2 linked regions of the Tamandua tetradactyla genome follow. The protein of the gene in region 1 interacts with the protein of each later gene in a pairwise test. Links are inferred from orthologs where the notes say so. Each region holds a gene or a part of one and is shown in the gene's direction. Other genes may lie near its edges.

The links. The genes of interacting proteins can lie anywhere in the genome.
Region 2: the proteins of CCDC102B (region 1) and PPP1R18 interact in binary tests that used the Homo sapiens proteins (3 or more experiments, as listed by UniProt). The two-hybrid records come from large-scale screens. The link is inferred for Tamandua tetradactyla from reciprocal best matches to the Homo sapiens genes CCDC102B and PPP1R18.

The regions. Positions count from the first base shown.
Region 1 is NC_135344.1:13,477,661-13,484,947, reverse strand, and holds the start of CCDC102B (coiled-coil domain-containing protein 102B), read left to right. Parts: upstream 1-4,276; 5' UTR 4,277-4,535; coding exon 4,536-4,552; intron 4,553-6,094; exon of another isoform or gene 6,095-6,459; intron 6,460-7,287. UniProt on the Homo sapiens protein: During interphase, forms fibers at the proximal ends of centrioles to maintain centrosome cohesion. During mitosis, dissociates from the centrosome following phosphorylation to allow centrosome separation. Contributes to CROCC/rootletin filament formation.
Region 2 is NC_135331.1:85,574,072-85,581,153, reverse strand, and holds the start of PPP1R18 (phostensin), read left to right. Parts: upstream 1-4,079; 5' UTR 4,080-4,166; intron 4,167-4,300; exon of another isoform or gene 4,301-4,340; intron 4,341-4,548; exon of another isoform or gene 4,549-4,706; intron 4,707-5,784; 5' UTR 5,785-5,812; coding exon 5,813-7,082. Other genes in the region: NRM (nurim), read left to right, coding at 949-1,078, 1,690-1,886, 2,476-2,652, 3,006-3,287.

The DNA.
Region 1 (7,287 bases):
TAAGCTTTCTTTTCTTACTTTAAGGGAAAGCCTCTAGAACTTTGCTGGCCAGGGCCAGACCAGCATCTCCACTGTTGATGTGTAGCTTGCATCCTCTAGTCACCGCAGACTTAAAGATTTGAATTATGTACCTGATTTAGATATGTTCTTGATCTTAGTCTGCATTCCTGTGAGTGGGAACCTACTGAGAATAGGATGTTATTTTACTTATGATGTGGTCCAACTGAATGAAGTTGGGTCTTAATCCTGATTACTGTGTCCTTCCTGGGCAGAAGAAATTCACATTTATTCAGAGAAAGCCATGGGGAGGACCCAGAAGCTGGAAGTCAATGGAACCCGGAAGCGAGAGGAAAGGACAAGACATCGTCATGGGATGCAAGTCAGGGACACAAACCAAGGGACCCAAGGTTTGCTGGCAGCCAGCACCAGAATGTTGCAGACTTTGTAGAAAAAGCATTGCCTTGTGACACCTTGATTATGGACTTCTTCTAGGTTCAAAATCATGAGCCAATAAATTCCCATTATTGATGCCAATACCCTGTGTGGTATCTGTGACAGTAATTCAGGAAAGCTAAGATAGCTTCTCTACCTCCAGCCTCCCATCCTTGTTCAAAGAAGGAAGAAGGAGGTGAATGGAAGAGGGAGTGTCAACCATATCAGGAAAGAAAAGTTTTTGCAAACATGCCCATTTTATCAGCTAATATCAGCTAATGTTTACTGGCAGAGCTGTGCCACGTGGCTAAGCATATCTGTATGGGGAGCTGGGTAGTGTAGGTTTTTTTTTTTTTTTTTTCTGACAATGTTGTCCAAACAAAAAACAAAATTCATTCTGTAGGGAGGAAGGGGAGAAATTAGACTGGGTAGGAAAGTAGTATCCACAGGGAGGACCTAATATATAAAATGAATTGCAATCAACTAAAAAAAAAGTGTCAGCTCTTCTTTGGTACCTACTAAGTGCTTTAAGATATCGTGAACTTTTCAACAAATTAAGAAACCTCAAAGGCTGAATTCTCTCATCTCTTTTTCCTGTGCCCCCACCGCTTGTTGTGGAGTATGGAATGTTAAGATAAGGTTGTGTGTGTGTTTGTGTGTGGTGTCAGTGCAGCCTTTGAACTAGGATAGAGGCACTGGATAACTTTGTTTCCCTAATACCCGTGGGTCCCATGATATATATATATATATATATATATAAAATATATTTATATATTTTTCAGCATGGGCAGGCTCTGGAAATTGGACTCAGTCTCTGGCATAGCAGGTGAGAATTCTGCCACTGAGCCACTATTGCACCACCTGGTCCCATGATATTAATCAACAAAAGTTTTTAAACGAGAGTTGGCAATAAGAAATAATAAGCAGTTGCCCTCCTACGCTTTTTGAACCAAAGGGAAATAGGTCATGGGGAATCAATAGCCTTCACTTGAGAAAGCTACAAATGAGACAATGCTTCCTTTTATAGGCAATTTTTTACTCATCAGTAATTTATAAATTTGCCAGTAAAATATTGATATGGTGAGTCAAAAACCTGATCAGTGTGGATTCAGAAGAGATGGGAGGCAATGAAGTGGAGAGAGAGAGAATCAGACAATTCTTTCAAGTTTTACTATAAAGTTGTGTTATTTGAAGAGTGAAGAAGAGTGGGAATTCAGGAATGACAGATAGGTTTCTAGCTTGAAATACTGGGTGGGTGGTAGTGTCATTATTTTATATTGAGAATACAGGACACATAGAGGTTTTAGAAAATATATAATGGGTTTAGTCCTTGGAGATGGTAAAGAGAATTAAGTGGTTCCTAGTGAGTACTCTCATGAGACAGAAATGCAGATCTGAAGCTTGATAAACTGCTTTGGGCTGGTCATGTAGATTTGGGAATTGTATGTATGACAAAAGAAGCCACAAAAACAGATGTGATCACCTGAAGAGAAGATGTGCGTAAGAGAAGGACCAATGATAGACGCTTGGAGCTATTGCACCATCAAAAAGAGAGGCTAGTAATAAAGGATGGTGTTCAGGACCTGAAATGGTTAGTAAGATGGAAACATATAAATCAGAATAGTGTTCTGGTAACCCAAAGAATGTTTTGTGAAGATAAAGCTGTAAATCTAAAACTGTTTAAAAATAAAGTTTATTATGTAAATAAGCTAGCTAACTAATTAAGTAGGAAATCTTCAGAGATTTAGACCAGTAAGAGTACTGGAAATAGGCCACTGAACTAGACTCATACCACTGGAACTACTCTGTAACTTTACTAAAAACAGAGAGGAACAAGTTTGGGGCAGGCAAACAACTCATGAAGACACTGCACTGGTTCAGGCAGAGTATGCTGGTGCCCTGAATCACTGTAGATGGCAGTGGAAAGAGAAAGTACTGAGTAAATTAATGAAGTAAAACCAAAAGACACTTACTGGACATAGAATAGAAGGAGTCAAGGATGACTTCAGGAGTTTTCTTTAAGAAATTGTAAGATTGGCTTGGCCGTATTGATATAAGCACAGCAGGTCCATGGAAAAATTGGTGACTTCAGCTTTAGACTTGTTCACTTTGACATATCTATGGTATTTTCAAGTAGAAGTGTACACTGTGCAGATATATGTAAGTGTGGAACTCTCTGAAGAGGATTGGGTCCAACTGTAGATATTTGGAGTCTTCTGAAAAAGAGATGGCAATTAAAATCACCAGAGGAGGATATGGATTTAGATGAGAACAAGGTATTGATGTACACCAAGGCATGAAAGGAGAAAGGGCACCGCTAAAGAGTGAGAAGACACAGCAAGACTGGTCAAGAGGAAGACCAAGAGAGTATTGTGCCAAGAGAGGGAGTTTTCATCAAAGCCAAGAAAGGAGTGTCTTCTTATAGACTGGTGGTCAACAGCATCAGAGGCTGTGTAGATGCTAAGAGGACTGAGGACAGAGAGGAGTCTATGAAGTATAAAAAAAAAGTGTTTTTTTTTATCCCCCTGTGTGGTGTACGTGTGTATTTTCAGGAAGAGGCATCTTGGTGCAGTGATGGGGGTTGAAAGTAGATTAAATAAGAAGAGCGCTCTTTCAATCATTTGACCATGAAGGACAGGAAAATGGGACCTGGAAGTGAAAATGAGATCAAGGGAAGCCTGTTTTGTTTGTTTTTGGCTGAAGGATTTAACTGTGTCTAAAAATCTCATTGGGAAAATCCAATCAAGAGGGAGCATTCAAAGATACAGGAAAGCTGAGAAGATGGGAGAAAGGGAACCTGAACTCCAAAGGACTGATTGTTTTATACCAAGAATGGTCATCCTTTCCATGGCATCAGAAAAATCAGGAGGGAAGGTAGCTATTCAGAAGAAATAGATGATAGAATTGTTAATCAATGACGACTATTGGGAGAGGACATATATTCTGTCTTTCCAATGCTGTTTTCCTGCTACTTAAAAGAAGCATACTGGTTTCTTTTCCTCTGCCCTCTCCCTATTTCTTTGAGCATTTTCTATTGTTGGTTTTAACCAGGGAAGTTTTCTTTTATGTGGTCTGCCCTCACCCCTTCATCAGTACACTTCCTGACAGCTGAGTCATGTCACTGGAAAAACTACTCTGTTTTTCCCCCAGGGAAAGCAGCCAGAGAGCTCTCACTGGAGGCCCTAGAGACTTGAATTCATAATTCCTGCCAACATGACTGAGATCAAGTGTTTTGACATATAATTTTTGAACCATGATTTGCATATGTGAATATTTTATTAAATGCTGTTTCTTTTTTCCTTTTTGCTGGACAATCAAAACAAAATTAGATCAGGCACATTGCATTTTCTATTATTTCTGTGATCTGCAGTATAATCTTGCTTTAAATCTTTTGCAGATAAGATACTTTAATAGCTTTTCTTTGTTTTGGCATTTTAATTTTTCTATTACAAGTTTTGCCTATTGTTAAACATGAAACAAACTTGTGATTAAAGGTACGGGTCGTTTCTTCCTTTTTCACTCATAGCACATAGTGTCAAATGAATTGAATGAAAAAATTTGGATAACCATGCTTAGTTAGGAGACATTAAAAATGATTTTAATTTGATATGTTCGCTTGTGTTCCAAAAAAGGGTGTTAAGGTATCGGTTGTGATAAATCTTCATAACCAATAGGAATCCTTTTTTGAGTTTCTGTGGAGTGGCCTTAGTTTAGGAAATAATCTCGTTGGCCAGGACCCCAGAGCTATACAGATGAGAAAAGGATGCAGGAAATTCTGTTGTTTACACATGTGTCTGTAACACTGAGACGTTAGAGCAGCCCAGCAAGCCCAGAGGGTAAGAGTGTTTAATAACCTTGTGGTTTTCTATTTAATTTTTATACTTTCCTGCTGGGGTAGAGCATGTGTTGTTTTCTGAGCAAGGAAAAAGACAGTTGCTTATAAGAGGCGGAACAGAACTGCTGTTGGTCTGTGAAACAGAAGGATTGGAATTTCTTTTTAAAGTGGACTTGATCTCATCCCTTACCTTTCCTTTTTTTCCCACTGTTGGTGTTATTTATCCTGACAGCATGTTATATATTTCCTGCCTTTAAAAAATAACTATATGCTAAACAAACTCAGGTAAGAATTTCAACTCTAAATTTAGACAGTAATATAATATGTTGCTATTAAAACCTTGTTTTTAGTTTCAAATGATTAAGGGTTAATAAATGTGTTTGAAGTAATCTGTATTCTTACAGTAAAAAAGTAAAATTGTTATGTAAATCCTCATGTTCATGCTCCATGCACTGAGTTATTTTAATTTTACTATCCTCATGTTGAATTCTTGTCATTGTTAACAGAAAGCTATACTTCAGATTTAGCACTAATATTGATTTCTATACATAAATAACTTGGATATGTGGAAGAGACAGGGATACAAAATAATATCCTACACATCATCTATAGGAAATGGACATTTATATAGAAAACAACTACAGAAATGAAGGGGAAAAATGCTGGAAATCATTGGGAAGTATTTGCTGATGGTTTTGAAAAATAAACTATAACATGAATGTTGAGTAGGTAAGTCTATCAAGTGGAAATATAAGGAAAATATTTTTAAGACAAAAAAATTGCAATTAGAAATATGTAAATAGCATATGACATTGAATACACAATGATGTGCTGGCTATTTTCAGATATATCAACATTGGTTTTTCTTTTTTTCTAAAAACATGGGGATATGTTTTTGATTATCTTTTTGATGGGAGAGGGGTGTTGATAAAATCTTTGATTAGATTTTTTGTGAATAAATCCTTTTGTTTTCAATAAATGTTCTCACAGATACATTAAAATAATCTTGAACTTTGACTTTTTTCCCCATATAAAGGAATCTTGAAAAGCTAGTGATATATTAGATGTATAAACTTCATGTGATTTTGCAACATCATTTTAAACCATTAAAATCTGAACAGTGTTTAGAAAAATTCTTTGTTTTTTGAATTTTTTCAAGAACTCTTGAAGAAATAGTTTTCTTATGAAATAACAGATCATTTCATCATCTCTCTATTGCGTTCTTTATATGTTTACATTGGATTCAGTAATTGCCTGATTGGGGGTGTACCTTCTTGAGAACTCAAATTGACTTGGCCTCAAGTGACTTTATGAGGGTCTTCATCTAAGTCTTTGAGTGACAAGGATAATGCCAATAACTCTTAAAAACATGAAAAATGATCTCAGACCATCTTGATTTAAGTATCATTTCTCCCATTTTGTTATTACAAGGTAATTGGACGCTGCCATAAGGCCAAAATCTTCAAATATTCCCTTTTAGCGTGGATTTTAGGGCTAGAGAAATTTGAGAAGCTATGAAAGAGAGGTCTGACTTCTTGAGGTGAGTCTTGAAAAATCAGTGGAACTTGTATAGCTGATGAGAAGGAAAAAGAATATTCTACTTTGGTGAAGTAGTTAGAGAAAAGGGTTTGAGGCATGAATTTCCATAAAATGGGGAAAGATGGTGAATGATCAGCCGGCTTGGAGAAGAAAATATATATTTCTGCAGTAGCAGGCACTGTGCTAAGTAGCCCGAATGGGGCAAATTTGTGGAGTGTCTTCAAATATACACAGCGTAACTGTCTTTAGATATGAAGTGCCTGTTCCCCTTTTTATCATCATCATCATCATTATGAACATACTTCCCATCTGCAAGTTGACTTGCATACATGTGCATGTTGATTTACATATGTATACATATCTACAGGTTTTATAACTGTGCAGTAAACTGAACATTTCACACATAATCTTCATCTGACACATGAAGGAATCTGTTCAGACACATTAAATGATTTATTTAAACCCACAACTGTAGTAAGTTTTGGAGCCAGGACTCAGAACCATGTCTTCCTGGCTGCAGAGCTACTTTCACTCTACAGCTCTGGTGCCTGAGTGTGAACCTGGCAGAAGTGAAGCGGACTGGTTTGCAATGAGTCTGGGGTAAAAGGGAGGAGGCACAGAGGCCACCATCTGAAGGTGAATCCCAACCCTTGGTAAGTCTGAGCTAGTCACAGTTCTCCGAAGGGGTCCACTACTCTCTTTGGGAAAGAGAGAGAAGTTGATACTGGAAATAAGGAGAGGCTTTTACATTTAAATTAGCTGCTGCAATATTCAACCCTTAGGCTTTTCTCTTATTTTCTTAGATGTTGTATTCAAAGGAGATCTCTTTTGCTGTCTCAACAACAACAAAAAACTGTCTATTATTGATTTTCACTGAACATTATTCACAAATGAAATCAATGAAGTGACTGGGTATGATACTGGGAATACTTTGGGAATACGTTGGTCTTCCTTTGATTGTTTATCATGCTTGATACGAATGAAGACTTAGTGACCATGTGCTCCTAAAATTAAGGAGGGACTAAGTTATTATCAATGAAAAGTATCATATATGCTTTATTTCAATTGGTGAAGAGTATATATAAAATCTGTTTGCAAAGTACCTAATACAGATTATGAGGTATTCAAAGTAAAAATAATATAGTCTATTAACACTTTTCCCCCTTACATATCCAAACCTTAAACATATTAGTTTAGTTTTTCTCAAAGTAAAATAGGACTAGCATCAGAAACAGCAATCAGTTTCTTCTTTTATGTGTCTTAATGTTTCTAATGAAACAAAAATATTGCCTTACCTTACTATATCATGGGATTTTGGGATATATGTGTGCATGTGTATTTGTGTGTTCATCTGTGTGTGTGTATATATATATATAAATGTATATAATACATATATATATAAAGGATTTCAATGCCATCATGTATAAAACCTGCTATCTATTATTTAAACGCCTTCTGTAAGTTAATTAGCCTTCACTGGA
Region 2 (7,082 bases), on another chromosome or scaffold:
ACAAAAGAGGTTCTCTGGAGGTGACTCAGGCCTAACTTTAAGTAGGCTTAGCCTATACTTTCTGGGGTTAAGTTTCATATGAACAAACCCCAAGATTGAGGGCTCAGCCTATTGCTTTGGTTGTCCCCACTGCTTGTGAGAATATCAAGAATTCTCCACTTGGGGAAGGTGAATTTTCCCCCTTTCTCACCATTTCCCCAAGGGGACTTTGCAAATACTTTTTTATTCACTGTTCAAATCACTCACAGATAACGTATTTTGGCTTTCATGGTTACAAGCCAACAGTCTTCAGAACTATGAGAACAAAGCTTTGAGTATCACATATGAGTTATTGGCCATTCTTAGAAAGTGGAGGAGTAACAACTCAATTTTATATTAAGTTACAGAATAAGCATTAATTTATTTTGTGATAGAATAATAACTTTTTTTATTCTAACACTATACAATAGGTGATTCAGAGCCTGGGTTCTCAGACAGTCAGCCTGGGACAACAATCTTCTGTTCTCTCCTTGTTCATTACTAAACTGCCAACCCAGGTTTGTAACCTCTGACTCTGGTTGTTTTCTAGCTAAGGCTAAGTTAAAGAGAAGGAGGCTTGCGTGTGCTGTTTCAACCACAACCATGCAAGAGAGGAAATGTCTTCATTTTAGATGGAAAACGTAACGGAGCTGAGATTCAACCCACGACTGGCCGAAGAGCCGCTGCCCTTTTTTACTTTCCACTTAGTATCTATCTTACCCTTTGCGGACGCCAAGTTGACAGGCTCTGGCAAAACACTCCAGCACCAGCCCTGCCACCTAGTGGTGGGAAGCGGCGCGAGACGCGCCGGAAGCCCAGACGACTGCGCGCAGGCACTCCGCCCTCCTGGGCGGGATACCGCGCGGGGGCGGGGCCGACGGCCGCGGGAATCTTGGGCCCGCCCCTTACCCCGCCTCTCCACCTCTCGCCATGGCCCCTGCACTGCTCCTGGTCCCTGCTGCTCTTGCCTCTTTCATCCTGGCCTTTGGCACTGGAGTGGAGTTCGTGCGCTTCACCTCCCTTCGGCCACTTCTTGGCGGGCTCCCGGAGTCTGGTCCGGGTGAGCGGGAGGGACGAGGCCGAGCTTGGGGGTAGGGAGGCGGAGCCGGAGGAGCGGGCGCGGGGCGGGGCCTGCAGGCAAATGACCGAGGGGAAGTCCGCAGGAGCAATGCTACCCTGAAAGCCGCGATGAAGCTGCAGGGGAGCAGGACCAGAGGACTAAATTTGGAATTTGGGGATAAGCTGTTTGAAGAGGCCGGGAGGGAAGAGGAATGGGAAAGGGCGATAAAAGTCTTGTTAGCGTTTTCTAAGAAAAGGATTTTGTAAAGGGGAGAGTGTTCAAAAGAGGTAGCGTTTGGAGAACTGAAATAAGAGGGGCAATACAGGGCTGAACTTCCATCCATGCCTTTAGTAACTGCCCAAAATGCGTTTTTTTTTCTGTGAATCCTCTTCCCCGGTTTTGAACGAGGCCGGAGGAAGAGGGTTGAAACAGGGAATGGAAAAGTGAGATGGGCACGGCCTGGAGAGGAGGCATTAAGGCTCTGGAAAGCATTACGGGACATTGTCCACCCCCCCACCCCCCAATCCCCAACCCCAAGAGGAGATGAGAGTAGAGGTATTTCCCACCAATCTTCTTGATCTTTTTGTCCCTTTCTTCTCCACACCCCCTAGATGGCCGCCAGGGATGGCTGGCTGCCCTGCAGGACCACAGCATCCTTGCCCCCCTGGCTCAGAATCTGGGGCTCCTACTACTATTTGTGGGGCAGCATAGCCTCATGGCTACAGAGACAGTGAAGGCGTGGACGTCCTGGTACTTTGGGGTCCTGCAGAGGTCATTGTATGTGGCATGCACTGCCCTGGCTTTGCAGGTATGAGAGCCTGGCAGCAAAGTTCCCTAAGGGAACAGTCTGTGGGAGGGGCAGCCTGGTAGGAGGGGCAAGAACCCTAGGCTTCAGGATGAAATTTGGTGTTCAGCAGTTAATCTCAGCTCTCATTCCTCCACAGCATAATATCCTGCTTTTTATCTAGAAGGGTGTGCATGTCCTTCCCCAAACACAATATGTGCATTCTCACTTTTGCAACTTTGTTTTTGTTGTCCCCTGCTTGGGATCCCCATCCCTAAATCCTCTTCAGTTCTACTGGTTCTTCACTACCCATTTCCCTAGGTCTCAAGGAAAGGCTTCCCAGTTAGTGTTCATGTGCCTTCTCTCTGAGTGCTTGGTGTAGGCTACTTCGTATCTGTCTCTGATCATCCCCACCTATTCCGTAAATCCTCTTGGTAGAGACAGATTATCCTTATATCCTTGGGACCCCACCCAGTCCCCGCCCCATGGTTAATATTTGTTGGTGATGCTCGCGATGGGGGCTGGGGAGAGCTGCAGGCCATCCTGGAGTGGGGGTTAGTCTGAGTCTCTCAGGAGCAGGCTGCTGGAATGCCAACTTCTCATCCTTCCCCAGCTGGTGATGCGGTACTGGGAGCCTGTACCCAGAGGTCCTGTGTTATGGGAAGCTCGGGCTGAGCCGTGGGCTACCTGGGTGCCCCTCCTCTGCTTTGTGCTCCACGTCATTTCCTGGCTCCTCATTTTCAGCATCCTTCTCGTCTTTGACTACGCTGAGCTCATGGGCCTCAAACAGGTGAAGCTTCTAGATCCCTACCCAAGGCCTCTGCCCCTTTCAAAAACTCCTCTTCCCCATTCAAGGGTTTCACTCCCCCTTCTTCCAAGCTCTACCGCCTTCCCCTTGCTTGCAACTCCCTCACTTCTCTTTCCCTTTCCTTTAATAGTCTTCCCTCAACACTCCATCAAAGGTTAGCCATGGTCCTCCTGGGCGTGGAGAAGTAAGAGATACCCAAGAGATACCCAAGTCTGAGAAGGGTGAGGGCTAGGGGGCCGGGTATCTGGGCCTGAGTTCTAGGAGGAGGTGAGGGAAAGGGGGCTAAGTAGAGAAAGAGGCTTGACTTCATTTCTAAGCTGTTGTCCCTCTCCTAGGTGTACTACCATGTGTTAGGGCTGGGCGAGCCACTGTCCCTGAAGTCCCCCAGAGCTCTGAGACTCTTCTCCCACCTGCGCCATCCAGTGTGTGTGGAGCTCCTGACTGTGCTGTGGGTGGTGCCTACCCTGGGCGCCGACCGCCTCCTCCTTGCTCTCCTCCTCACCCTCTACCTGGGCCTAGCTCATGGGCTCGACCAGCAGGATCTCTGCTACCTCCGGGCCCAGCTAAAAAGAAAACTCCACCTACTCTCCAGGCCCCAGGATGGGGAGGCTGAATGAGGAGCTAACTTCTGTTTCTAAGCCCTGTACATCTTCTCCCTTTGAATTCTAAGTTCCTTAATATCCAAATGCTAGACAGGGACTGTCCATTCCCCTTTTTGAGATTCCACTAGCTAGGCTCCAACTCTATACCCTAAATCCTGAGTGTCAGCTACTGGACTCAGTAGGTCCACTTCTCCCCAGCCTGGAAGAGAGGGCGTGAAACCCATCTGTCCCCTCAAGGTTTAGCGCTTGATTCCCTTTCCTTCCAGCATCACCACAAGGGAAAATATCTTCCTGACCACTCCCCTGGCACAGTTATTTGCCTCAGTGCCTCCCCTTCTCCACTTCTTGTTTCTGCCCCCAAGAGGCTGGGCCAGAGCCTGGCAGCCTCACCTCCATCCCCTGCCCCGCCCACCTCCACCTCCGGCGACCTGGTAGGAGTTCTCCGGTTCTTAATTCCAGTGATTTAAGGCTCCCCGCCCTTCCAAGGAACACGTGCTGCAGTAAAATAAAATTCAGCCTGACTTCTACATCTGGTGTGCTGTCTGTCAGTGGCTCTCAGGTTGCAGGGCTGGGTTTGGGAAGGAAAGCGAGTTGGAACCTGGGCGCGCCAATCGCGGGTCTGGGCGGCCACCGCGCCCTGAGGCGACCGCTGGGCGGCGGCCACTCCCCGCAGACCGGCCCCCACCTTTCTGGAGCGCCCCCAATTCCCCTGCTGCAGACCATAGGACGCATAGGGCACGATTTGAGGCTAAAAAGAGGGGACCGCGACTTTGGTAGGGGAGTGAGCTTCCAAAGCCGTTGGCTTCTGGGCGCCTCCCTCTCCGCCTTCCCGCGCCCTACCCCGGTCTCCAGCAGGCCTCCTACAGCCCGGCGGCAGCGGCCCTCGACCCCACAGTAACAAAGGCTGGCGGGGAAGGCAAAGGCGTGGGGAGGAGCGGCGGGAGATGGGAAGGGCGGGCCCGGCTCAGAGCAGCTGCCGCTTCCTCCCCAAGTCCCTCGAGGGGCCTGAGTCACAGGCCGCCGCCCTGGGTCGGCGAACTGGAGCCTCCAGGGCTACGGGTCGTGGGGGTGGGTGAGGACCCCAGAGGACAGAGAGCTGAGGGCCAGGGGTTGGGGCGGGAAGAGGGGAGACCCGAAGCGAATTCCCACCGCCCGGGCTGGGGCAGCCAGGCCCCGCCCCCTCCTCTGGTTCCGCTCCGCACCCCCTTCCCTCTCCCCATTGTCCTCAGACAAAGCGGTCGCCGCCCCCCGCCCGGCCCCCAGGTCTCTGTCTTCGTCCCTCCTCCTCTGCTCCTTCTTTCCCTCCTCCTTTCCCCCTCCTCCCCTCCTTCCCGTCTCCGGATCTCCCTCTCTCCCTCTCTCCTCCTCTTCCTCTCCTCCTCTCCGGACGCCTGACTTCTCCGCATCCCCCTCCTCCGGGAGCCCCGCGGCCGTGTGAGTTGATTTGCGGGCTTCAGACTTGGGGAGAGAGTGTCTCCTCGTCCCGGTGCCCGCTTTCGTCCCCGGCCCGGCCCTCGGACTGTCTCCTCTTTGTGCCGAGATTGTCTTGTCTGTGCGGTGGACAGGGTGGGGTGGGGATGGGCGGCTGTGTCCGGGCTCCCTGAGCCGGGACCGGGGCCCAGGACTTGCTGGATCTGGAGGGAAGAGGCGCGGAGCCCGTCCTCGGCACGCCTGGGTCCCCCGGGCGCGGCCAGCTGGGGAGGCAGGCGGTGGTGACCCAACGGGGTGGGGGTGGACACCTGGGTTCTGGGAACACGCCGGCAGATCCGCTGACCGGGTTCGGAGAGTCCCCCGGGAGGGTATTTCCCCTGGCCCGCCTCGGGGGCGGAGTGCGGGGCTGGGGGGGGGTGGGGGGTGGGGGCCGAGGGGCGTGGCCCGCGCGGAGCTGGAAGGGGAGCCGCGAGCTTTGGGGCCGCGTTGAAACGCCTTTCCCCTCTATCACCTGATTTCCCCTTACCCCCTAGACCTCTGCACTCTCAGACCCCTCCTCATCTCCCGGATACCCATCCCCACCCCCTACTCAGGTCCCGTCGCTCCCTTTTCGCGGGATTCTTTAACCTCGGTTTCCACTCTCACCTCCCCCCGGGGTAGCGGTGAGGCGGCCTCTCCTGAGCAATCTCCCCGCCTCACTTCCAACCTCTCTTTTCTCTGATCTGCCTCTCTCCTTTACCCCAACTTATCTTTTTACCCTCCCTTTTCTCTCCCACATCCGAACTTAAATACCCTTTAACCTTCTGCTACCAAATCTGACTCCTCCCTCTTTGCCCAGAATCTCGACTCTTCCTCTCACCTCCCTTCCCTTCCACCCCAACTTGGCACATATCTTTTTATTCGCACTTTCTCAATTTTTTCCCTTTCTCTACCCTTCCCCTCTTTCCCTCTGTCCTCACCCTCAGTCCCTGTCCTCTTCTCTGTCTCCCACTTTACCCCCCCCCCACTTCCTCTCACCACCACCCCCCTCTCTCCCCCGGGGCCTTTCTCACCAACTCTTCTTCCTGTCCTCTGCCCCCAGAGTTTCCCACCTTCACCCTAAAGCGACCATGACCACCATCCCCGACTGGAAACTACAGCTGTTAGCCCGGCGCCGGCAAGAGGAGGCAGCAGTGCGTGGCCGGGAGAAGGCGGAGAGGGAGCGCCTTTCCCAGATGCCAGCTTGGAAGAGGGGGCTCCTGGAACGCCGCAGGGCCAAGCTTGGGCTTGCCCCTGGGGAGCCTAGCCCTGCACCGGAAACTGCAGAGGCGGGACCTCCAGACCCAGACGAGTCTGCTGTCCTCCTGGAGGCCATCGGTCCAGTGCATCAGAATCGATTTATCCGACAGGAGAGGCAGCAGCAGCAGCAGCAGCGGATTGAAGAGCTGCTTGCAGAGAGAAGGCCTGCTGAGGCCCAGGAGCGGAGATCCAGCCCTGGGGAGATTCGGGATCATAGCCCCAAAGGAAGAGAGTCCAGAGAAGAGAGGCTCAGTCCCAGGGAGACCAGAGAGAGGAGGTTGGGTATAGGGGGAGCCCGAGAGTCTAGTCCCAGGCCTTCAGAGGCTCGGGACTGGAGGCAGAGCCCAGGAGAGAGCTCCCGTCTATTAGAGGTGCAGAAATGGAGACTGAGCCCTGGAGAGACTCCAGAGCGGAGTCTGAGACTGGCAGATCCTCAAGAGCAAAGCCCCAGGAGAACAGAGGTGGTGGAAAGCAGACTGAGCCCCGGGGAGCCTGGTATCCAGAAGTTGGGTCTGATAGAGACCCATAAATGGAGGCCTGACTCTAGAGAGTCTCAGGAAGAGAGCTTGGTACAGCTGGAAGCATCAGAGTGGAGACTGACCTCAGAAGAGAAAAACAACTGTTCAGAGGAATGTGGGAGAAAAGAAGAGAGGCCAATTCCAGGGATAACACCAGAAGAGATTAAAGGACTCTCAGAGATCCTGACCAGAGAGGTTTCTGACATCAGTCCCAGAGGCGTGGAGGCCACAGAACAGAGGCCAAGCCCAGTGGAGGATGGCGACAGGAGTTTGAGGCTGACAGAAGGGTGGAAATGGACTCTGAACTCAGGGAAGGCTCGAGAATGGACAATCAGGGATATAGAGACTCAAAAGCAGAAACCAGAACCTTCAGAGTCTGCTGAGAAGAGGCTGGGACCTCCTGAGGTAGACGCTGGAGAATGGGAGGCCGCGAAGGAGGAGGAGGCGGGGGCTCAGGGCAGGTCTCTGAACACCCTGCAGAACCGCTGCTCTGTGCCCTCCCCCCTCCCACCAGAGGACGCTGGGACCGGAGGAGGCCCAAGACAGCAGAAAGAGGAAGTGGTGGAACTCCGGCCCCCACCAC